4 linked regions of the Caenorhabditis elegans genome follow. The protein of the gene in region 1 interacts with the protein of each later gene in a pairwise test. Each region holds a gene or a part of one and is shown on either strand. Other genes may lie near its edges.

Region 1 (4,928 bases):
CAGATTTTCAATTTTTTCTTATGGTGTGCAATATTTTGGTGACAAACGGGTTACTGTAACTCAGTTGTTGTAACTTTATGTTTTATAACACACTGTGATCTTGGCATGATCACCGAGCCATTTTGTACATTACTGTAGAACTTATTCGATTGTATAGTTCGGCAATTCTGTAATTCTGAGATTATCGAGTTCACAATTAGGAAAAGTGATTTTCGTGGGAGAATTGAAAGTTCACCCATCTCTCTTTTTGAAATTATTACTTTAAAAAATTAATAATGTTTGATAGTCAATAAATTATTATATAAATATCGATAATACGATAATTGCCGAATTTCTTCTTTTTTTTCAAAACGCCCTCTAACCTTCACATAAATTTTCTACAGTAATCTTTTGCACATGAATTTTCAAGAAGTGAAAATTTATATGAATTGTGGATTGCCAAATTAAAATTTGATACGATTACATTTTTATAAACTTTCACAATTGGTTTGTTTTAAAAAAATAAGTTTTTCTTGATTCTCTAACTCCTCTATTAGATCAATGATCTCTTAAAAGTGACCGCCCGTTTTCCACCCCAATTCCTCATTCCCACTCTTCTCCCGCACACGCATACATACCGCCCATCTCTATCTATCACATTCTCTCATTTTGACACACTGTTTCGTATGTTGTTTGTTCCAAAAAGTGTGTGACGGGTGGAAAACTGATGTGGAAATAGTGTCTTTTGCCCCTCTATCTTTTTGAAATGATAATAACTTTTTTCGAGAGTTTTTTGTTTTACTTTTTATTTTTTGAATTTTGATCGATTTGTATAAGTTGTATCTAATCTTGATCTAGATTTAACAACATTCATATTTCCCGCCAAATGAATTTTTAGGCCTAAAATTGTTTCCTTGGCAGCAGAATGTGTAGGCCAAAAAGTTATATAGAAAGATAGAGTTGACTCTAAAAAATTTTTAAAAATTAAAATTGTTGGAAATTATTATAATTCGTTAAACTTCAAACGGCTTCTAAAATTGTCACAATTGTGTGTGGGAAATTTAATGTGTTAGGGAAAACATTTTCCGCGCAAATTTGTCAAGATTAATTTTAGCATTTATTTGAATGATTTGCAGAATTTAAAGTTCGAGCTTCTCCGCTTTGCACTACTGGGCAATTCACTGAGCATAAAACCGCGCTTGCACGGTTGCTCTCCCCTTCCCGCCTCCACGCCTTTAAGAAGGTAGAAAAAAAATATAATCAAAAAAAAATATACAGCAACGGTTCAATATAATTGTAACACCGAACAGCGAGGCGGGCGATAGGAAGGCGAGGAAAAAGGCGCCATGTCGCCTCACCCTGATGGATTGCCAAATGGTAGTCAATGATGTTTGCATAATTTTCTTGATTCGTGGTATTTACCGAACTTGTACATCATACTTCACGCGAATTTTTGAAAATTGGTATCAAGATGGACCCTTCGTAGTTTGTCCCACATTCGTGTAAAACTTTTCTAGAACAAGACAATTTAAATTTCGTCCAAAAACCGAAACTCTGAAACAAATCTACCCAAAAATACGAAGTAAAACCAGTAGGAAATCATCAAAGTTCTGCACTGTTTGCACACAGTTTTCAATTTTTCCTCAATTTCCCTCTGCGTCTCTGACCATCTCTTAACTCTTCTTCTTTTCCCACTGTCACTTGACTTTTGTGATGTGACACACATATTTCCTATACGCTTCCCTCTTTCACCCACAAAAAGTTTGAATTCTGTAAATGATTTTTAGATCTCTTCCGGAACACTTTCAAACCGTCGATTTCAAATAACTGTTTCATACTAAAAGTTGAGGGAAATCTTGATTTAATTTCAGAAGCCTGCTCTACACCTGCTCTTCAGAGGAGATTCCACAGAAAGCCTCATCCAGAAGACAATGATTCCGTATCTAGAAATTTGCAGGTCAGTTGTTTTATTCAAAAATTAAACAATTTTAAACAAAAGGTTCTGACTATTTTCTAGTCTGCGTTTTATTCTAAAGTGTAATGTTTCCTACTTTTCCTAAGTCTCTCATTGTTGAACCTTCTTAATGATTTACTAGCTTCAAAAGAACGAAGCTCAAGGAACTGTTATACACAGTTTCAGAATTAAAAATAATCTAAAAATCGACACGAATTAAATGAGATCCTTCACAAGGAGAATAAACTGTGGGACGTCCGTCACATGTTCTGTTAAAAGTGAATTTTACTGAATTGGATAGATATCGAATCTATAAAAATCAATGTGTTAAACTTTTGCAAGTTTCAGTTTAAAATCAAAAATAAAAAGCTTCTCAAATAACGCTCTGTGGCAATAATAATTTTGAATATTCAAACAATTTCAAGGATAATAGGAACTTATTAAATATAGTTTCCCAGTCTCCTAGTCAAAATACGATTCACCCAATTTCCCTGACCACTTTCATAAAATTAGCCGAAATTGTTGTAGTGTAGGCAGTGATTTTTTCTGCTGCCTCAAAACGTTCAAGGAGTACTGTAGGTTTTTCATTTTCCGTACCGCCTGCTCTGTCAAAAATCCACATTAAGTGTTGATAAAATCGTTTTTATCAACGCGTTTTTTGCTGATTCCAACAAAATATTATGATAGCAAGAATGCTTACTTTTTTTTTCATTTTTCAGTTTAGTTCCTTTTCTTCGGCGAAAATGTAAATTTTGGTAGCTTCTCAAACAATGTTTCTGATAATTTGTACGTAGGGTTCCTACTCGGCAAAACGGCCTAACTTCATAGCATACTCTTGCAACTTCTTAAGAACAATTAGGCATTTTAGCTTTTAAGCAAACTTCTGCAGCTTTTCAGATGACTTTTGCAATTTCTTAGCAGATGTAAAGCTAAATTTCGCTCACAATCCCGTTGGTTTTCGCAACTTCTTGACAGCTTTTTACAAAGTTATATGAATGTTTTTATTAAGTTGCAGGAGTTTGCTATGAAGTTGCGACGTTTTGCCGAGTATAGAGATCATTAGAAGAAATGTGTATTGTATCCATTAATATATATATTTTTAGTTAATCCTCTCTAGTTTCACGAGAAAATCTGCTCAAAAAAAGGTCAAAAAACGGCGGTGATGCAGCCACATGACTTCTCTTCAGTTTTCTCTAGTTTCTCTTTTCGCATGGCTCAACAGAAGCCCATTGGGTCATTTTTTGCGCCTCTCTTTCTCTCCTCCAATCGCCACGCGTCTTTTGTGTCGTTTTCATGTGACTCTGGACGGAGGAGAGCACCGATCCATTTTTTTGATTGGAATAGGGGTGAAGATCTTGTGGTTGGGAGAATCTAGTTTGGTCGCAATGTTTTTTTTTTCAAAAAACTTTTGTGAAGCGTTCTAGAAAGCTTACTTCTGATGTGATGTTTCTATATTTAAAATCATAAAACATAGGTAGCCTGTAATATTTTCATAAATTTATTTTTGATGCAAAATGTCTTTTAACAATTTGAACTTTAAAAAACCCGTTTAAGCGATATATGAAAGCTCTCGCGCCTCCGTGGAACGCCTTGTTTCTAATTACAATTTAAAGCCTCTTTTAAAATAATTGAAAATCACAGCTTCTCCATTTTCCTCCTCAGTTCAATCCAGTTCGCTTCACCACTCCAAAAGTCCAAACTAAATTTGAAAATAGCTTTTGAAACCCAGAGACTCTAGAGAATCCGTCATTTTTTGTCCCATTTTTTTCGCACTTTCTGCCTAGAAGGTGGGTTTCGACCATTCATCATATTGCATAAAACAACTCTCTCTCTCTCTCTTGTTTGTTTGCCATTCCGATGCAAACCGCCCGTTCCTCTCGATGTGACGAACTGAATGAGAGAACGGCATAGTTAGTGTATGTGGCAAACGAAAACGACAATTCTTTTCCCCTTTCTCCAGCATTTTTTTCGCCCAATTCTCCCTCTTCCCTTTTGCCCCGATTGGTCTGATTTTTGATCGGCTCTCTGTTCGTGGTTCTGCGAGTGCATCTAGATGTAAGTTAGATGTAGATGAAAGTGTTTGGTTTTGCACTGTGTAATTTTTATAAATTTTGATTCACGGATGTAATCATCCCTGGTTATACATCATCAATTTACATGATTTTTTTAAAATTTGCACAATTTAGTTTCATCTGTAGAGTATTTTCCACACTGTAACCTATATTTTGCAGTTCTCAATTTTTGGTATATCTGAGAAGATACAAATGCCTAAAGTAAAAAACCTTCCATTTCAAAAATAGCAATATAAACTTTTACTGAATGCGCTAGAGGCTTTTCGGGGGTGCCTCTCACCCTTGTTTTCACGTTTCGCCTTGAAATAGTCAAATTTATCAAAAATTTGAATTTTTAAATTTCAAAGCGGAAAAGTTGTGTTACAATTAGAGAATGTAAAATACGATACTTTTTTTTTGCATAACTATAGCTTTTCAAAATCAAGACACTAAGGCATTTTTATAATCGTAAAACTATGAGTATTATTGTATTTCGAATATTTGCATATGCACAATATTGCGCAAAACTTTAAACAAGTTCCCCCAACATTTATTTTATGTTTTCTGAAACCAAGGCAACGAACTGAAAATCAGAGAACCGGTCTATCTGTTCGTTTTTTAAAATTCGAGTTTCTTCTCCTTAAAACCAATCAATTTTCTCATCTTCTTTTCGTAACGATGGCAGGCAACACAGCGGACAAAAAAACGAACGGAAATGTTGAGAATCGGCACGTTTTCGTTTTCGCCTCTCTAGAGAAATAGCGCTGGATTAGACTAGAGAAATCGGACATGAACCGAAAAAATTCATGGGATGGGCGCCAGAAATATATATATCGATGAATTCTGTCCCCTTTTCCTTTTCGATATGAAAGTTAACGATGGCAGCTGTACCAAAAAAAAGAGGGGAAAAACTGACTTTTCGACGATAAAAAGAGGAAGTTTGG
Region 2 (7,423 bases), on another chromosome or scaffold:
TCAGAGTCACATGAAAGATGTGTCACCAGGTGAACGATTCACCTGTTCTCTAGGCGTGGACACGGCCATTCGTATCGAATATAAGCCAGCCAAAAAGTTCCATGAAGAAGGCGGTTACATCACAAAACATTCAACTCATGCCACCGAGCAGACGATTAGTGTAAAGAATACAAGAAGTGGACCGCCTGTACTGTTAACAATCAAGCATCATGTACCACGTAGCACAGATGAGAAGATACGTGTGAAACTGACATCTCCAGTTGGCATTACCTCTGATCAAACTGATCAAATTAATTCAGAAAACGCTGAACCAAATGTTGGAATTATTCTGAACAAAGATAACAACTTGGAGTGGACTATCAAATTAGACGCTATCAGTTCGAAGGATCTATTGATTAAATGGATTGTTGAACATGCGAAAGGAGAGAACATCGAACTTCGCGAAAATTTGCAATGATAATAATCCTGTGAAATTTCTGAGCTGTAATATATCACTTTTTCACTATAAATGACGTCACCTTTATTCAGGATCTTCTTTGATTGTATTTTAATGAGACTAAAAATCGTTGATAAATTTAAAAACCCGTTTATTCTGACCCTAAAAGCAAATAATATTTGACAAGTAAATATGGGTTCAGAACGGGTATTCATGGCACATATGTTAGTGGGGGACGGTGAGAGATCTAGTGGGGTGAGAGAATCTTATAGCCTATTGGTGTTGGCAGTTTGATCGATTCTTCTTCGATGGAGTTTCGCGAGCCGACTTCTCCAAAACGTGATCCTCCGGATGATGATTTGAAGCATCTATCTGCCGGGCAGTAGTATTCGACATGGTTTGAAGACGATCTTGGAAGGAGTTCTGCGCATCTTCGAAGGCATCCTCATGAGCAGAGTTTTGCGGTTCGACAAGTGAGCTTTCGCGGCTCAGTTGTTTCACACTGAAAATAAAACGCTCAACTTGTCAATTTTAATACATGTTCAACTCACCCAAGTCTTGCTTGCTCGATCAGTCCCATTACTCGTGGCGGCGTCTTTACACCCTTCAGCTGCTTGATCTCGGACTGAAGTGTCATGATCTTGTCCTTATACTCCCGCTCGTCATCATCAAATGCATCACAAACTTTCTCCAATCGCTGGATTTCGATTTCAGCCCTCACCAACTTTTCCTCAAGTTCCAGAATACGAGAATGTGCTTGTTCCAGTGCTTCCGACTGTTCTTTATTTTCAACTTGAATCAAAGTGATGTCGTGTTGAGCTTGTTCTTCGACTTCAATGACACGACGGTCAGATGCTTCCATCTTCTCATGCATTTCTCCAAGCTGTCGTTGCATTTGCGAAAGCGATTGAGTGAGAGTGCCGAGTTGCATTGCCTGCGACTTCCAGACATTTGCTTCTTCCAGGCGAGCCTCAAACTGCTGTGAGATTGTTTCGATCCGCGACTCCAGAGTAACAATCGTGTTCTCTTTCTGAGAGAGTGCTTCCTCTGCAGCCTCGAGTTTTTCGTTTGCATTGCTCAAAGACGAGTTCCACTCCAATCGGATCGATGCTTTCTGTAAAATTTATCAATAAATTTGGAATTAAAAAAATGTCCGTTAAACTAACCTCCACTTCGAAAGCTTGCACGAGGTTTAGCATCTGCTCCTGAACTTTTTCGAGTTCTTCGACTTTCTCCTGCTTTGCGTTTTCGGTGTCAGCTAGGGCCTTTTGTGCAAACTCAATTGATGCTTGAAGCTCTTTAATGCGTGAATTCAACTCCTCTGACTTGGCTTGAGATTCTTCGATTGTACTCTGTGATGTCCGAAGAGTATCAATTACGGATTGGAGGCGTTCTTGTTCTTCCTTGTGCTTTGCAGCTTGATCCGCGTTCTGAAAAAATACAATTTTATAAATATAAAAGAGAAATTTCGTCAAACCTCAACATCTCGGCTTTCAATCTTGGCCACTAGTTCCGCAAGATGTTCTTCTTGATCCATCATTGCCTTTGTAGACTTTTCTACTTCTCCACGAAGCTTATCAATAGTCTCAGCGGAAGTCCTCGTCAGTTCAATGAGCTCGGCGTTTGCAGATTCCAACTGAGAAGACATTTCGGATAACTGATCCATATTCAAGTTAGTATCAATTTCCATCTGCTCATTTTGACTTTTCAGCTCACAGATTTGCGATTCAAGTAGTGACACTTTGTCGGTGAAGTCTTGGATGGTTTTGCTTTTTTGAACGTTTTCAGCTGTACTACTCTCGATAGCAGTTTCTAACTCCTGAATTTTACCTTCCAACGAAGTTACGAGATCAGAAGATCTGCCTTTTTCTTGAACAGCAGCGTCAAGTTCAGCACGAAGAGCTTCATACGATTCACCTTGTTCTGATTTAAGAGCTTCCATAACGACTTGAACAGCATTGGTGTCCTGGCGAGCAGTTTCAAGCTCGCTTTGAAGATCAGAGACTTGCACGTTTAACTCTTGAACCCTGGCATCTGAAGTTCTCAAGTCTTCCTGAAGACGATCAGTGAGATCCGAAAACTGCTGAGCCAAGTCGAGTTGAGATTGAAGCTCCAAAACCTTACCGTTGGAATCCTTCAAATTGGCACGAAGATTGTTTAATTCCTCCAAAGGTTCCTTCAAATTCTCCAACAAAGATTCCAACTCTTTGACTTTATCTTCAGAAGCGACAGCATCAGCCCGAGTTGATTGCATTTCTTCTTGGAAGGCGGTCAATGAAGCTGTCATTTCAGAAATCTGTGCTTCAGACGAATCCAACTTCAACTGCATTTCCTTATTCGCTTCAGTGATGACAGAAAACTCCCGACTAGAAACTTCAATTTGCTGTTCGAGTTCAGACACTTGAATATTCAATTCTTGGACCCTGGCATCTGAAGTTCTCAAGTCCTCCTGAAGACGATCAGCGAGATCCGAAGATTGCTGAGCCAATTCGAGTTGAGATTGAAGATCCAAAATCTTATCGTTGGAATCCTTCAAATTGGCACGAAGATTGTTTAATTCCTCCAAAGGTTCCTTCAAATTCTCCAACAAAGATTCCACCTGTTTGACTTTATCTTCAGAAGCGACAGCATCAGCTTGAGTTGATTGCATTTCTTCTTGGAAGGCGGCCAAAGAAGCTATCATTTCAGACATCTGAGCTTCAGACGAATCCCATTTCAACTTCATTTCCTTACTTGCTTCAGTGATGACAGAAAACTCCCGACTAGAATCTTCAATTTGCTGTTCGAGTTCTTCATTCTTTGCTTTCGACATGGCAAGATCGGCTTGAAGTTCTTCAAAATTCCTCAGAGAAAGTTTCAACTCTTCGTTTTGCAAATTGGATGACTGAACCTCACGTTCAAGCTTTGAAAGCACCTCAATAGAAGACTGAAGTTCGTCAATCTTTACTCTTGACAGTTCAATATCCAATAAATACATTCGATGAGCCTCTTCCATCTTCAACTCCAGATTTTCCACCTTAGTGACGGCAACATCAGTTTCTTGTTGTGAAGATAAGAGTTGAGCAGCCACCATCTCCAATGAAGACGTTAGTTCCGCAATTTTTTCGTTTGAAGATGTCAGATGTACATTCAACGAATTGTTTTCATCAGACTGTCTCTTCACTTCTTCCAACTGCATCTTCATCTCAGAAGTCAATTCCTGGATTGTAGCTTGCGATGCCTCCAACTGTGCATTGGGCTCACTCGTGGATCCTGACTCAAGTTTTGCAGCTTCTAACTGGTTCTCCAAATCAGAAATCTCTTTAATCATGAGCGATCTGAACTCTTCGAGTTGTTGCTCGAGCTCCACAACACGAGAATTATTGGTGGCTTCAAATCGCAGCTTTTCGACCTGAAAAATAAAAATATATATATTGATTTGTGATTATTCAATTAAGCCAACCTCTGCTTCAAGGCCGTTCACTTTTTCCTCGGCATTCTTGATGTTTTCGGAAGCTTTTTCTTGTACCACCATTAACTCTGCTTGAAGTTTTTCTTTGTTCTCAGACGACAGTTGCACCTCCAATTCAAGTTGTTTGATCTTGTCGTGAAATTCTTGGATCTCCAAGTTTGCTTGTTGGGATTTGAGGGCGAGTACTTCTGCCTCCAGTTTCTCCATATCCTCAATCATCATCTTGCGAACAAGTTCGTGCTCATACTTCAGCGATTCACTTGTTGTTTGTGATTCGGTGCGAATCCTTTCCATCTTAAAAATAATTAATTAAATTTACTTCGGCAATAAATTCTATAAAAACCTCTTCACTGAATCTCGCTTCTTTCTCTACTAGATCGCGCTGAAGACTTTCGTTCATTTGTTTGGTATTCTCAAGCTGTTTGATTGCTTCTTGATGGCCTCCAATTAACTCCCGAATCCGATCTTCCGAAGCAGTCGCTCCTTGTTGCATCGAATCTACTTTCAAAGCCTTCTGGGTCAACTCCTCGATTTGAGCGTTCAGAGCAGCAAGATTGTGTACCAACTGATTCTTCTCTTCGTCAGGCTCTTCCAGCTTCAAGCGTAACTCCTGAACTTGTTTCTCGAGAACTTGTTCTCGTGCCTTAGCGGCTTCGCGGTCAGATTTTGCCTTTTTCATTGCAGAATCTACTTGCTGAGTCAGCATCTTTTCCTCAAAAATTCGAGCTTCTTGAATCTCACTGAGCTGTTGACTGTGACTTTGACGGAGAAGCTCGATCTGCGACTGAAGAAGTTTGATTGACTCCTCATGCTCGGAATTCTGCTCCAACATTTCAAACTCGTGTCTGAAATTATTTTGTTTTAAGCTATAAATACGACAATTTCTTACAGTGAGAAGTCAATGTGACCTTTGACAGGAAGCACTGGGGACTGGGGGACATCTCGGACTGGCTTTGTAGGCTGATCTACTCCTTTGGCGATTTCCGTGAGAAGCTGTGGATTAGATACTGTTGGAGTACATTCTCGGCTCAGAATCTGGCTCATTGGAGTACGAGAAGCAGTAGGCGTAGTCTCTCCGTCAAGTGCCAATTGATTATCGAAATCATTGGACAGTGTGGCATCGGCGTCCGTCTCGTCGCTTTCTTGAACCATGCTCAGGTTGCTCGTGCAATTTGAGGTGTCGTAGAGCTCAGATTGTTCTAAATTCACATCAACATTGCTGCCCGGAGTGATGGAAGCATCGTTGGTTCCCACGAAGGATGCATCATCAGTAGCCAAAGCTGTTACTGTAGACAAATCCAGTAGACTTGTGTTGTCGGCAGGGGTGATAGAAGAAGCAGAAGACGGGCGGGAATCATGCTCGAGGCAGGTCTCCTCCAGGTTGCTATCGGCCATATTGCCCGACGAAGTTCCAAAAATGCGTTTCGGTTCTCTTCCTAGTCGTGATTTAGGCGTAGCGGCGGAAAATGGCGACTCGGTTTGCTGGCGCTTCTGAAATAATTTATATTGTCATTGATTTAATTAAAATTTTGAGAAAATTCAACTTACATTTCCAGCTGAGCGCTTGTTCTCGTTGTCGAATATCGGCGATTCGTCCATTGTGAAAGAAACGTCGATTTATCTATAAATTAGCAATAATGATTATGGAAATTACACAAGGGATATTAAAAATCAAAAAGGGCGCGTGATTTGAAAAAAGGAGGAAAAAAGTACTAAACAGGAAATTAAGGGGAAAATAAGTTTTTAGAAATATATCTATTAAATACTGCGTGTGAAACTTTTTGACGTTATGTGGCAACAAATAAAGTAACAAAACAGTATTTTCCAAATGTCAGATAACTGAAAATGAACGTTCATGAATAATGAATGAATGAACGAAATGAAAAGTGCCGGATTCCCGCGCGTGGTGATTCAAAATTGAAACCTTCCCGCCATGTGCGGTGGAGCACGGTTGCTCTTACCGACCATAAGGTCAAAATATAATAGGTCTACAAGTGAAAATCGGTATATTTTATTTATTTTGCAGTTTGTGGCCTTGTAAAAATGGGGTTGATTGGAACAAAAAAATTAAAAACCATCGTTTGCGTTTTATGTAGTTTTCACAAATTTTTATTCCAAAAATATATCTTGTCTTACAATTCAAGTAAATATACATACACAAAATCTGAATTTAAAGTTTAAAATTGCTGGTTACTGAAACAATAAACCCATCATCCGGATATAAGACAAAACTTGCTGAAATGCAACATTTTCTTCGAACATTCTCAGGCTTTTCAGAATTTCGTTTTTATCTCCACGAAGTCGTGAATCGTATGACCATGTCGAATTTTGAGGACTACATTTTTGAAGATCTATAGGCCCACTCAAAGGATTATACCAAAAATCTCGTCCCATTTGGCTAGGCCTGTAATACTTGAATAATTTTTAAAAAATTCAGGTAATTTGCCAACTCAAGCTTCACATTCGGCGTTTCTCTCAATTGATTCGTTTTCCAACCATGGAACATGAAATCTAACTCTGGATGCCACATCATTGATGTCAGCCAGCCGTCTTTAGCCCATCCTGTTCCCTGTACAGTTAATATTGTAGATGTTGTGGTATTAATTTTAAACCTACTTTTTTCATAATTCTAACTTTTCCAAAATCAGTGGATACGCCAAATATTGCTCGGATACATGACTCGTAGGTGAAGAGATCATCAAAATTTTTAGAATTGTTATAAGCTTTTTTGCATACTTTCGTATTTGCAGAAGCCTGTGGGAACAACTTTTCGGCAAGGAAAATCTAAACAATAAAATAAAAATTGAAATAGGAAGTTACCAAGTTACATGAAGTGCTCCATTATCCGTTCCATGAAAACTATTTGGTAACTTGTACTCATAATCAGCAAACTCTGCAATTTTATTAAATTCATCACAAAAATTTCGAATAAAAAACTAACCGTTTAATAAATCAATAGCATATTGAGTATTTCTTGCAATATAAGATCCAGCCATGATCTCCCAATTATAGAATCTATCATAGAATGTAACATCAATTCCATCATCCAAAAACTCTTCAATTTTTCGCTTTGGATTCACAACACCAATATCAGCGTCTAAGAATAGGATCGCATCAAATAATGGGAGAATCTTTGCGGAAACACAGTGGCGGCGGAAAAATTTCTGAAATGTTAGCTTTTTTTAAATTAAAAAAAATTAGAACTTACATCTTTATGAGCACATTTGAAATCAGTATCAACTGCGAGAACAAATTCATAATTATGGATTTTGCAGTAGCAACGAACCGTTTCTGAAAAATAACAATAGAACGTCATAATAAAACATTCCAAAATGTTTTTTAAAGTTTTTAAAATTTCCAGTCAAAGTTTTGGAAAATTGGCAAATTTTCGAAAAATATGGGCTTTAAAGAAATCCAGGGCAATGTGGCATGTTCCAAGAATGTTTTAACATAAATAATTAAAAAAAAATTAAAATATTAAAAATCCTTTTAAAAAAACCAGTTTTTTTACTTTTTTTAAATATTTGTTTTTTTAA
Region 3 (7,633 bases), on another chromosome or scaffold:
CAAACTTTTGGGTGACGTAGGTTCTTTGGAGACAAAGTGTCCAAAGTGACAAAGGATCCAGTAGACAAAATGGGGTGTATCTTGGGGCCAAGGATCAATGGTACCAACCTTTTTTCAACTAGTTTCTTATATGTATTTTTCAGCTAATTTTTGTTTATATTTCACTGGAAAAAGTTTTTTTAATGCACTTTCCATAGGATTTTCGGTCATAATTCGCTCAGATAAACTTGTAAATGTCCTTTCCGATCGATTTATTCACTCGATTAGTCGTTGAATGTATATGGTGAGTGAGATTATGCGATGCTCAAAATGAATTTTCAATTTTCCCGCCGATACAGAAACTAATTTTGATTAAGGAACATTGTGGTGAGTGCGCGTCTGGTCCCGACGCGAAATTAATTTTAATGCTTTGAAACTTTTTTCTAATATTTTCGTTAAAAATTAAGGTTTATAGCCTTCAAAAATTATATATGGTCTTCAATAATTTTTTATTAAAGCTTTCAAATATTTAAATCTGAAATCTTAACCAAATTTTAAAACTACATACGATTTAATTTGAAATCATACACGTGAAATGAGTGTGACCGTAGTAGAAGCGCCGCTTTGTTTGAGTTGTATTTGAAAAATGTATTTTCTCCTTTTCAACTTTTAAAACTGCGATTTACTTCACCATATTCGTTATTTCTTTTCGTTTTCAAAGTAATTATTGTTTAGCTATTCAAAAAATTACTAAAAAGCGATAAAATTCGAAACAGAAGGTGTTAATTAACATGTTAATTGATCCTTTTGTGGCCTAAAAATAAACTATTTACCGATACACTTTCATAATAGTTCTTTCGGAAAATTAAAGTACTTTTTTGTCGATCGGTTTGAGAAAATGTGCCGGTGAATTTGATTTTATATATATATTTTTCAATTTTAAAAGCCAGTTTATCGTATACAAACAAATTTCTGTTATGTTTTAATGAAGCGACTGTTCATTAGTTTAAAAAACATGCCGATTTAGATGATTTTTTAGTTTCAAAACGTTTTCTTCAATTCTAATACTTGTTTTCGATAGAAATTCAACTTTTCCTGAACGCAATGCAATCGCGCTCTATCGACGTTTCAATGAATAACCGTCAATCATCTGCTTGCCGATCGAATATTTAGAACGCGTTTTATTGCTCCTTAACATTTTTTATCATTATTTCAATTGAAAAAACCATTTAAACAGTTTTCCAATCAGTTTGTTTCAAAATTGCCTTCCAGATCGAATTTCATTTAAATCTCAAGCACTGGAAATTGAAGAACAAGCTTCCGAATTCAAAAACAAAACAAAATATTAACTGTTAAAAATCTTTATAATCTATGATTATTGTTTATTGCAGACTTATCGGCTCAAAATGAAATGAATTAACGCAACAGTGCACGACTTGAAGTTTTAGCTATTATATATATTATTGAGAGACCTTATTACAAATTTCGCTTGTTTGTCCCAGAATCGTAATACTTCCTGGAATAGAAAGTTTTCTTTAATGCCTCTAGCAAATTATCGTTTACTTCTCATTTATTGCCGTTCAAACGTTTCAACCCACTCAAATACTCGATATTTGCAGAAAATGTCCGAAAGTGATGATGATTATCCGGAATTAGACATCTCCGATCAATATATCGATCCATTGGGGATCGTTGTTGGTCCACCACCCGCCTCGTATACGGAAACTGATCGTGAAGAAACTCCCATGCAAAATCGAACTGAAGATGACACTAATAGCTATGGAAATTCATCGGGTGAACATGACTACGATAGTTATTTGGATTCAGGAGACGATGACTTTGACGTGGATGCCTACTATGCGGTAAGATTCGTGTTCGTATATTTCAATTTTATTTTCTGATTCAGAATGACAATATGGATGAACCTCCACCAGAAACGATACCGGACAATCTTATACAAAACGTCATCGGAAGAAATGATAACGCCGATTATGATTTCAGCGATGCAAGTAATCCAGAAATCATGAAGGTATTTAAATACTTATATGATCTCGTGACCTAATGGTTTAGCGTGATCTTCAGCTGTTCCTGAGCTCTTCATTGCTGAGCAATCCATTGAAATTCCGTTCTGGATACTCCTCGGATGAATTGGATGATTGTTTGAAATCTTGTATGGGATACAGTCTTCAAGTAACAGCTGTTTTATTGCTTCCTCCAGAAATTATTTCTCAGCTTCCAAACGATTCCAAGGTAAATTACAATGTGCATAGGGAGACTATAACTTAATTGTTTTCAGACCGAACACGCCCATGCACTTGTACGAGGAGGTTGGCTGCAGTCCAAAGAGGGCGCATTCTTTCCAGTCATTTCCGATTCAGAACGTGAGACTGTTGTTTCGTTGATGAATGGATCCGAAGAACAGTGCGTTTTTTTTGTCACGAAAAGCTCTGAACGACTCGAAATAAGGCACCGGCGATCAGAGAGACGCTATTACAGGCTTTTTTTGTGGAAATTTTTATGTGAATTATTGTTAAAAACAGCAATTAATTTGTTTTTTGCACTGAAACCCCGTCATAATTGCTCTCGTAAATCGATATAATTCCCTATGTTCATGGAATAATCGAATTTGAATTATTTTATTCTTGTTTTGAACATATTTTTTCAAAATCAATAGCGAAATTGCTCAAATTCCATTTTTTTTAATCGAATGACTATTGTGCCGATTCACGAGAGAAATTAAGAAAATATTTCAGTACAAAAAAAAAAAATATATAAGTTAAATATTTCTGAGCTCTCCTTGCCAAATCACCACAAAAAAAACACAGTCTCTTCGATCGGTGGTGTTTCCTCGAAATGGCGTATAAAATTTGCAGGCACAAACGCCAGGAAAGGAAGAAAAAGGAAGCAGATACATTTGAATCCGAAGAGAAGGAAATTCGTACTCTACTCACATTCAACATGATTGCGGAATTGTTAATGGCTGTCAGAAATGAATATAGCATTCGTTCAGTTAAATATCAAATTCTTTCAACTGCTTATACAAATATGGTTACTGGTGCGGCACATGCGAATATTTTTCGAAAATATAAGGATATTCTTCAACTCGATCCAGAAAAACTGTGGAATAATGATTGGTTCAAAGAGTATACAAATCGAGGAACACTGAAGAAGTTTCTAACAACTGCAAGATTTTCTGAAATTGTGGTTTCACAAGCCAACGGCAAAACTGTAGAACTCTATTTTAGAGCTGACGATGAAGGAAACCGTGAGTAACTAAAAATATTTTCGATTTATTTTCAACGTTTGTTCATTCAGGACCAGTTGTTCTTTTCACTGATGAACATATTGCGGATGTTAGGAACAAATGGAAAACCGGCAATCAGAGAAATCAGAACTACGGAAGCCAAGGCAATTATAGGGCCGGTGGACAGAGATCAGGTACATTGCATTTTTTGTGATTATCTAAAAATCTTTCTTTTCTAGATGATCGTCGTGGTCCACAACAACGCAGAAATGTAATTGTACCAGATCCGAATTATCAACCATCGACTTTTGCTGGGGGCATTTCTAACAATGCAGATGATGATGGATCGTTGGTGAGTGCGATAAAAAAAACATTCATTATTCACAAAATTCTTTGTGTGCAATATAGAAATGAAATTTATGTGATTTTCAGCAACCAACAACTTCATCGCACTTTAATCGAAATACTGATCGGTCAACATCTCGTCCTCCACGTGCACCCACTTCTCCAGTCAATCGTGTGATGGAAACAGATCCACTAATGGGCCAAGGCACTTCGTCCGGAGCCCCTCAACGATCCGCGATTCCGAATCCATTTGGTGGAGCACCAGCTCTTAGCAGAAGCACAATCACCAATGGTAACCGTGGTCCTTCATATGGAGATCGTGGTGAGCGTGTTCAAGATGTCGGTGATACGACATCAGATAGTGAAATCACTTCTGAAGGATCCTACTCTGATGAAGATCCCGAGCAAAAGGAGATTAAGCGTCAAAGAAGAAAGGATAAACTTAAAAAGAAACAGGAAAGAGAACTAAGAAGTCGTGAGAAGCACACGAAGTCTAAGCAGCAACCTCCTTCGAAAAGTACGAATTTTATCATTTCCAAAGCGGAGTTTAGTGAATGGGGATGATGCTTCGTTTTTTTTCATTTTTCTATTGTGGTATTTCTGAACTTGAGACTATTTTAAATTTTTGAACTTTCAAACACCAACGATATTCCGCCTTACAAAAATTTTCCAAAATCACCAATTTGAACTATTAAATTTATGAAAATCTATTTCAGTTGAGACTCGATTCAATACGTACAAGAAAAAATCAGAATCATCTGCTACTGACACTTCCAATACACCTCCAGTTGACACTGTGAATGTAGCTCTCCCGACTCCAGTAGTAGAATCGTCTTCTACGACCGCAGCACCGTCAATCCCTGTTTCGACACGTCCTGAAGTCGTCGTTCCACCTGAGAATCCAGCTCCACTCAGAGAAGTCGGAAATTTCTACTCTAAATCGAATCACGACGAGGATAGACGCAATGTTCAACTTCCTTTCACACCAGCGGATACGCACAAACCGATTAAAGTTGCGCCAAAAGGTATTTTAAGCAGTTTAGGACTCGTCTTAATAGCCTAAAATCAGTTTCAGAGCCTGTACGGAATCCGCTTTTGAAAGAACGACCTTCAGCCAATGGTTTCATCAACAGAAGGTTCCTAGCTTTAAAATTTAATCTTTCAATTACCAAAAAAATTATTGCAGACTGCCATCACATCCAGCACCACCACCAGTCAACCAAAGTCAACCAGCCAATCAACCAATGCAAACAGCTGTGGTAATTTCATTTTTAATAATATTTTAAGTCTAAACATTCTATCCACACTTACGTTAGAAAAAATTGTTAGAAAAATCTAATGCCTCCGTGCATTTCTGTACCACTGAAATTTCATAGTGATCCAATTTTAATGACCGTAGTCTTGAGAACTTTGACTGTGTATCTACAACAAATATTTGAAAATTTGCGAAAAATTGTTCACATGATTACATTTTCGATCTATTTTTGCTGTTTTCGAAATAGTTTTGCTTCACAGTTCGGATAAAGTTGAGAGAAATGTGAAATTATAATTTATTGAGTTCTCTGGAAGACAGAAAAAATTAACAGAAAAACTGAAAGAAAACAGTATTGTTCACGTGAACAAGAATTGGGACATTCTTTTAAAAGACTGAAGATCTTTTCCATTAATTTATTGTCCAACACAGTCAGAAACTTTTCGAAGTGATGCGTTGGGTATTTGAACCATATTTCTTTAACCATGTTCGTTTTTTTCTCAAATCCTACAAGTTTGAAGTCATAATCATTATCTTTTCAGTATCAAAACTCTCATCCGGGTGCACCATATATCCCTCAACAGCCAACATATCAGCCACAGCTTCCTGTACAACAACCTCAACCACATCAATATGCGCCTCAACCAATACATCATCAACAGTAAGGATTATACTTAAAAATTCATTCCAAAAGTTAAATAAAGAACGCTCAAATGGACCCAAATCGAATTTTTTGATAAGATTTCGCAAAAATTTCCGAAATAAAAAAACTCTTTTTCGGTTAATAAATTCATAAATTTGACAATATTTTCAAGAAATTTGATATTATTTGACCATCTTTAAAAGTAATGTAAAACAATTCGCGTAATAATTGTAGTCTTGGGGTTTTCATGCAAGCAAAAGACATATCCTTTTTTGCTAAAATTGAGAAAAAAAAACAGAAAAATTCACAAAACTAACATTTTTCAGGCCAATCCACCAACCGATGCACGGCCAACAGTATCCGCCAGTTAATCAGCAGCAACCAATCTATCAACAACCGGCACCACAGTATCCACCATACAATTCAATTCAGAACAACCCTCAACATGGTCCTTCTCCATTTAATTATTCTCAAGTGCCACAACCTGCTTATAATCACGTTGGCCAACAACCATCACATATGAGCAATCAACCTCATATCAATCAAAATGGATATCAAAATTCGTACAATCCGAATCAGGGTCCGACTTCTTCCGATCCAAATTATGGATGTAATCCACAATTCAATCATTATGGCAGTAGATCAGTTTATCATGAAGATCATTCATCACAAAGAAGAAGATCACCTGATCAGTTTCCACCAAATCCTCCAGAATACGATCCACACGGAAACTTCAAACTTGCTGATTATGAAAGAGATCGAATGACAGTCGGATACAGTCAAAATCCACATCAATTTGACCATCACGGAAGTCATATGCCTCATCAGTCACAACCACAAGGATATGACAATTTTAACGGAAATTCTGCGCCGTACTTTAATAAAAACGGAGGACAATCAAACCATCAACCGGAAGCTCAAAGATCTTTTAGTGTTCTCTCTTCGAATCGTCAGCCATCGAACAGGGAATTAATATTTCAAGATGGAATTGAGAAGGAATTGAGAGATATAATTCTCCGTTATCGAAGCATGAACTTGACAGTATTGACAGTAAGTAGTAATTTTCGTTGAAAGTTTCAATTTGTTCTACGATGTGATATTAGTAATTATATAAAAAGTATTACGAGAAAATTTGATTGACACATACGAAAAAAATCTTTAAAAATAAAGAGTATTTTCAAATCATCTCTACACTATATTTTCGTATAATTAAAACAAGCTTTTTACTTCGAAAAATGCCATGTTTTTTCTTTCAAAAAGACTTCTTGATTAGAGTAACTGTACCAATTTTATGTTAAGTTTTTTTAATGAAAAGGTTTTCGTTAAAAGTGAATTATTTTCAGGTACAAGAACTGAGAACAGAAGTGAGCAGACGTCCTGCTATTCCTCGGTACATTGATATTGTCCAATATATTAGAGATTCTTCATCGGTTGCTATAGTGGAAAGAGGTGACATTGAGCCGTATGTCGTTTTGAAAGATGATATCCGAAACTAAGAATTTACTTGTTCCTATTACTGTTCCATTTTTATTTGTATTCACCCACTCGTCTCAATTTTTTCATTTTTTCTAAACCCATGTTTTTTTTTTTTAATTTTCGTTCTTATTGACTGCCTACTGATTATTACCTGTTTTTTCATACTTGAATCGCCAAACTTTCCTAATTAATATTTTTACGAGTCCAAATTTGTGTTTTAATATTTATAAAAAGTAGAAGAACCGGGAGTCAACTGATAATAATAATACTGCACGAATATTGGTGGTGACGGTGACAATTCAAAACAGGGATACGTGTCTCTGGGAAAGGGATGAAGGGAAAACTCGGGTTGAAAATTGGAACGAAGGCACTGGATGGAGGATGAGGGATGCACGTTTTCAGTATTTGGGGGTGATTGCTTCAGAATTGGCAACTTTTTGAATCTAATTACTGTTTTCCTTTTCTTTGGAATTTCAGAAATATTAGATTCAAAAAGAGAAAATAGCTCGTATTTACAGCATAATTATACTAAAACGAATGACAAAGTGCAACTACGTAGGGGAAAAATACAAGAAAACACAAAATGACAAATTTTGCAAATTTTGGTGAAACTATTTTGGAGAAAAATGTTGTCCAAAAAAGGATACACACTACGACGGTTTTGAAACTAAAATTTTTCTTTTTTGGAAACACT
Region 4 (5,792 bases), 5.2 Mb from region 1:
ACTTCTTGTAATTTTTGAGAATGCGTATTGAACAACATATCCGACGCGCAAAATATCTTGTAGCAAAAACTACAGTAATATGACTACTGTAGTGTCGATTTACGGACCCGGATTTTTGAATTGTTTGAATAGTGATAGAAGAAAATTAAATATCGCTGTCACTATTTAAAAATAAATTCAATTCGAAAATCGAGCCCGTAAATCGACAAGAATTTTCGCTACGAGATATTTTGCGGGTCAGTTATGTTGTTCAATAAGCATTCTCAATATTTAACCATCTTAATCATGAAACTTCAAAATCGGAAGAAAAAAGTATATTCTAATATTCAAAAAAATCTTCAGTCTTCCTCTTCTTTCCAGTCTGGCACGTGGAATGCGAGATGGAATAGTTTTGGGGGCACGCAGACATTATATCAAATCTCGATAGGCTAAAAATGGCGGGGAGTTGGAAGAGAAGAAGAATCTGGAAAAATATGAATGTGGGGGGCTATTGAAAAGAAAATGAGAATCATATTCATTAGAATAGTTGGGAAACAACTAAACGGAAAATTGAACGATAATGGAATGCGAAATGTGGAAGTCGTCAGAAAACGTGAGATTAACGTGAACAAAATATGGATCTCCACGATTTCACAAAAACATAATGGTGGGGCTAGCTTTGGAAAATAATGAACAATGTATAAAATTATTGAAGTTATATCGGTGTATTGAAGATCGTCTGGGATGGAACACATGATGAAGGAGATCAGTCTATTGATTCGCTCCAACTCCGTCGTCGGCGGCGAGAGATCGGCGATAGTAGTCGTTGGAGGCACCTTGATAATCAGACGATCCTCTGTAGTACTTCCCGTGATTCTTATTCAGGAACACAATCAAATCGTGAACTCCAATCATGATGCGCTGAAAATTGATTTATTTTATTTTTGGAGCATGGGACTACGCTCAGTGGGGAAATTGCTTTAAAACACGCCTATGGTACCACAATGACCGAATATCATGATTAAAAAAATTCAAAAAAAAATTTCTAGATTTTATATGATTTTTCGAAAATTGAAAAAATCTCAGTTTTCACCTAATTATTTTTGAATTACCGTCAATTGGATTTGTTCGATGGAGCGCGCTTGCATTATTTTCATTAATTAATTTTATTTTTTCTCGTTATTTGGCTGGTTTTCTTCATTTTCTATGCTTTTAAAAAGGACAAATGCGAAATGTTTGTTAAAAAGTAATTGAAAATGAGTAAAACTGTGAAATATACTAATCTCAGGCTTGTCGGAACTCAGAATATCACAGTTTTACGCATTTTCAATTACTTTTTAACAAACATTTCGCATTTGTCCTATTTATTTCTTTCATTTTCCGAGGAAAAAACATAGAAAATGAAGAAAACCAGTCAAATAACGAGAAAAAATAAAATTAATTAATGAAAATAATGCAAGCTCGCTCCATCGAACAAATCCAATTGACGGTAATTCAAAAATAATTAGGTGAAAACTGAGATTTTTCCAATTTTCAAAAAATCATATAAAATTTATAAAATTTTTTTGAATTTTTTATCATGATATTCTGTCATTGTGGTCCCATAGGCGTGTTTTAAAGCAATTTCGGGCTCCTGAATTCACGGAAAATCGTTTTTTTTTGCTATTTTTTATTTATATTAATGTTGAGAAAAATGATACGCATTGAAAAAATGTAAATTTTGGAAATTTGGCCTCAAACTGGATCGAAACCGTCAGTTTTTCGATTTCAGGATCGTAAAATATTCAATTTTGTGGAGAAAACGCAGATTCACAAAAAAAAATTGATTTTTAAAATTAAACAAGGCAATTTCCCCATTTTTCAATTTTAAAAATCAATGTTTTGTGAATCTGCTTATTCCCTACAAAATGGGATTTTTTATGATCCTGAAATCGAGAAAATTGACGGTTTCGATCCAATTTTCGGCCTAATTTTTCCAAATTTTACACCTTTTCGCCAAAAAAAAACAGATTCCGTGTGGAAACCAGATTCAGGAGACGCTCCAGGAGTTGAACTTCGAACATACGTTAATAACATGATCATTCCATTGAGTGAGCTTCAGGTAGTCCGGGAGCTTTGCGAGCATTCTCAAGAAATGCACAATTCCGTACTCTTGAGATGGACGGAATCCACTATCCTGCAGGGCGGTCGGGTTTGTGATGTCGATTCCCTTCTCCATAGCTCGCTTTTTGACAAGGTCATTGTACTGTGGCCGCTCGAACTTATAGAGCAGTTGGTAGCTGGAACTAAACAATTCATCCTTACATCGTAACTGTTTCAAGTGGGATTGGGGCGACTATTCTACGAAGCGGAGGGCATTATGTGTACTCACTGCTACTTTTATCGAACGAGGGACGAGGAAAAGCGGTTTCTAGGCCATGGCCGAGGGGCCGACAAGACTTAGCGGCAATTTATCTTGCTTTGTTTTCCGCGTGTTTTCTTTTGTTTTTCAAAAAAATTTTCCGTTTTTTCTTATTAAAACTAAATAAAAGATAAATAAATATTTTTGTAGATGCCAAAACAATTTCCAGGTGAAAAAATTGTGTATTCAGTCGGCAAGAAGCGGTGAAAGTGGTCAATGTTATATGATGGATTACGGTAATACTAAACCTAATCGTTTTTCTGAAACATGGCATTTATTCTGCTTAGAGACTGAAACTATTCGATTTTCATAACGAGACCGCTCAAAAAGTTCTGAGATTTTTGCACAAAAAGTTGAATTTTGAAAATCTCAAATCTTTTTCAGCGGTCTCGTTATGATGAAAATCGGGTAGTTTCAGTCTCTAAGCAGAATATATACCATGTTTCAGAAAAGGTTTAGATTTAGTATTCCCGTAATCCATCATATAACATTGAGCACTTTCACCGCTACTTGCCGACTGAATACATAATTTTTTCACTTGGAAATTGTTTTGGCATCTGCAAAAATATTTATTTATCTTTTATTTAGTTTTAATAAGAAAAAAACGGGAAAAGTCTATGAAAAATTAAAGAAAACACGCGGAAAACAAAGCAAGATAAATGGCCGCTGAAACTTGTCGGCCCCTCGGCCATGGGCTAGAAACCGCTTTTCCTCGTCCCTCGTTCGAAAAAAGTTGCAGTGGTACTAAACATTGGGCTACGTGCAATTTGCATGCATCTGTTTAACATATTCGAATTAACCAACCCCAAAGTGACATTAAAATAGTCGACGAGTCCACGCGCGGTGCAAATCAGAGCCAAATTCGTGATTTTTATATCAGCTTCCTCGTATTCGATGAGCAGATCATCGACCGTTCTCATTTGCTCATTACTGACCGGAATGGTTTTGATGTACTGAAAATGTTGGATTTGAAAATCGGAAAAAATGATATTTTAATTTTTTTTATGCTTACGTCCTCGATGATTTGATCAACTGAATACTCGTGTGGCACGATGTTTATGAAATAACGGCAGACAAGATCGTAGTCATCGATCAGGATCTTTCTCAGTGGCTTCGGAAGCTCGACCTTCATATCGTCGGCGGTCATAACCGGCGCAATTGTCACCGATTTCGCCTTTTTTCCCTTCGACGTCCCCGGAGTGTCATCACGATCGTCTCGTGGTGCTTCAGCCGCAAGACTTTTCTTCTTCGGCTTCAATGCAGTTGTTGGCAGCTCTGCGTTGTGTTTCTCTGCATACTCCGAGGCTGTTCCCTTGAAAATGCGGTCTTTCTCCTCGCCGACTGGGATTTTCTCATCGTATCGATTGTTCCAGCCCTTGAAGTGAACGCAGTAGAGTTCCTTGCCATCGCTGTTGGTTTTGATATCAGTAATTTTGGCATCGTATGGTTTGCCTTTGTAGATGCACGCGACGTTCTCGCCGACTTCGAAGTTCTTCTTTGAAGACATCTGAAGGAATTAAAGAAATTAATCGATTAATTGGTGTTTTAAGCGAGTTTTAGCAGCAATTCTAGCCAATGATGTATATTTGAACGATTTTTAATCAAAAAATAGATTAAAAATATCGAAAATTCGATAAATTTATCGATAAAAACAAAAAAAAAGCTTTTCTCAAAGCTCAACGGCATTTTCGCAATTCAAACCCCCCTGCGGCGCGGTTTTCTAAGCAAATGCAATAGCGCCGCGCACGAAAAAGTACGCAAACACCACGACGCAATAATGCAGACTTCCAATTTTGAGACGTCACCACTAGCTTTTTGCTCATTTCTTTTGGGTTTTTTTGGATTTCTATTCAATTTTTATTCTCAAATATATTAATTTTCAGATGACGGACGAGCCGGTGAAAGTTGTGAACAAATGGGACGGTCCAACAGTGAAGAATGCCCTTGATGAAGTCGTCAAAAAGGTTTGCTCTCCGAAACTCCAAAATTAAAATTAAAATTAAAATCTTTCGTTTCAGATTCTGAACGACAAAGTCGGATGGACGGAATCGCATAATCTAATGAATCTGCGTCTTCTCATCTCATTCATCGGCGTCGCGTTCTCCGCGTTCGCCTGCGGCTACGACTACTACGAGCCGTTCCCAAAGTCGAAAATCGTGCTCGCCGTGTGCTCGGTTTCCTACTTCATATGCATGGGAATTCTTCAAATGTATCAGTGGTACGTCGAGAAGGACTGCATCTACGAGGCCACCGAAGTCGACGGAAAACAATCGAGAAAATGGGCGTGGAGCTCGGAGATCAAGGCTCACGACGATAAGTACACGCTGTCGGCCGAGTTTAAGAAGGAAGGACGCTCTGGACAGGGAAAAATCACGAAATCTATCGGAGCTTATATCGATAACGATGGAGAGATCATCGTGCCACTTGTGAAGAAGGAGGTCGACGACTTGTACAACCGCTTGATTCGTAGCGAACAATAATTTATTTAATTTATCTGGTTTTCTTGGCCTAATTTATTTCCCCTTTTCTTCGCTTTTCATGGGTGCCCCTTTCTCTCTCCATCTATCCTGTTTCTTGTCTGTCAAAAGCTAATATTTCCAGCATTTTATACAATATGAACTTGTCAATTTCGGTAAGAATTCATTGTACAAATAGCTTGAAAAGAACAATTAACAAACACAAAATTTTAGCAATTTAACAATTTATTAGCAGATCCCATCTACTTCTTCATCTCGAGCATCTCTGCGTACTTCGCGGCCGAGCCCTTGAACAATCGACCCTGCTCCTCGCCGACTGGAATTTTCTCATCGTAACGGCTGTTCCATCCTTTGAAGTGAACGCAGTAAAAATCCTTCCCATCAGTGTCGGTTATGATGTCAACGATGTACGCGTCATATGGCTTTCCGTTCTGTGTGCACGTGACTTGCTCACCGATTATGAATTGTTCTCTACGTTTTCCGACTAGCCGCGGAGCGTTCTCTTTCGTCGCTTGAGGCTCTGTGGATTTTTCATGGTTTCTAGCGGACTGAAAATGCAAAATTTATTATTTAAAGCTTCAATATTCTCTGAGCAGTACCTTGCGCATTGTGACAACTGGAGCTCGGTAACCATCTGCTATCCCTTTAAAAATACGGTCTGTCTCCTCGCCGATTGGAATTTGCTCATCGTAACGATTGTTCCATCCTTTGAAGTGAATGCAGTAGCACTCCTTTCCATCCTTGTCGGGCTTGATGTCGGTGATGACCGCGTCATATACTTTTCCCTTGTAGGTGCATGCGACTAGCTCGCCGATTACGAATCTTGTGCCAGCTGCATCATTTGTTGAGCTGCTCTCACCATCCTCGGCTCGGCTGCTGGCGGACTGAAAAAACATGAATTCAGTTATTTAAAATTCCAAGATTTTATGAGCAGT

Evidence for each region.
Region 2: the proteins of ncl-1 (region 1) and hcp-1 interact in a two-hybrid assay, tested with the Caenorhabditis elegans proteins (one study listed by BioGRID).
Region 3: the proteins of ncl-1 (region 1) and mut-16 interact in a two-hybrid assay, tested with the Caenorhabditis elegans proteins (one study listed by BioGRID).
Region 4: the proteins of ncl-1 (region 1) and mrg-1 interact in a two-hybrid assay, tested with the Caenorhabditis elegans proteins (one study listed by BioGRID).

What each region holds. Positions count from the first base shown.
Region 1 is NC_003281.10:7,717,881-7,722,808, forward strand, and holds the start of ncl-1 (RING-type E3 ubiquitin transferase), read left to right. Parts: upstream 1-1,910; coding exon 1,911-1,936; intron 1,937-4,928. UniProt on the Caenorhabditis elegans protein: Translational repressor that inhibits protein synthesis.
Region 2 is NC_003283.11:6,592,289-6,599,711, reverse strand, and holds hcp-1 (HoloCentric chromosome binding Protein), read right to left. Parts: upstream 5,519-7,423; 5' UTR 5,487-5,518; coding exon 5,436-5,486; intron 5,379-5,435; coding exon 4,777-5,378; intron 4,733-4,776; coding exon 4,231-4,732; intron 4,182-4,230; coding exon 3,879-4,181; intron 3,828-3,878; coding exon 1,914-3,827; intron 1,867-1,913; coding exon 1,603-1,866; intron 1,551-1,602; coding exon 988-1,550; intron 939-987; coding exon 710-938; 3' UTR 504-709; downstream 1-503. Other genes in the region: ZK1055.6 (Protein F37C4.5), read left to right, coding at 5-457; ZK1055.2 (Nucleotide-diphospho-sugar transferase domain-containing protein), read right to left, coding at 6,078-6,291, 6,338-6,456, 6,504-6,671, 6,716-6,780, 6,829-7,051, 7,096-7,178.
Region 3 is NC_003279.8:10,078,561-10,086,193, forward strand, and holds mut-16 (MUTator), read left to right. Parts: upstream 1-1,598; 5' UTR 1,599-1,601; coding exon 1,602-1,841; intron 1,842-1,885; coding exon 1,886-2,008; intron 2,009-2,049; coding exon 2,050-2,229; intron 2,230-2,275; coding exon 2,276-2,400; intron 2,401-2,852; coding exon 2,853-3,244; intron 3,245-3,294; coding exon 3,295-3,417; intron 3,418-3,462; coding exon 3,463-3,575; intron 3,576-3,655; coding exon 3,656-4,085; intron 4,086-4,284; coding exon 4,285-4,593; intron 4,594-4,643; coding exon 4,644-4,704; intron 4,705-4,754; coding exon 4,755-4,827; intron 4,828-5,362; coding exon 5,363-5,481; intron 5,482-5,789; coding exon 5,790-6,513; intron 6,514-6,806; coding exon 6,807-6,959; 3' UTR 6,960-7,148; downstream 7,149-7,633.
Region 4 is NC_003281.10:12,870,768-12,876,559, forward strand, and holds mrg-1 (Mortality factor related protein 1), read right to left. Parts: upstream 3,888-5,792; coding exon 3,393-3,887; intron 3,334-3,392; coding exon 3,185-3,333; intron 2,265-3,184; coding exon 2,045-2,264; intron 901-2,044; coding exon 751-900; 3' UTR 507-750; downstream 1-506. Other genes in the region: spcs-2 (Signal peptidase complex subunit 2), read left to right, coding at 4,264-4,344, 4,399-4,860; cec-7 (Chromo domain-containing protein), read right to left, coding at 5,100-5,405, 5,457-5,741. UniProt on the Caenorhabditis elegans protein: Protein involved in the remodeling of chromatin thereby regulating various processes including transcription, chromosome synapsis and genome integrity.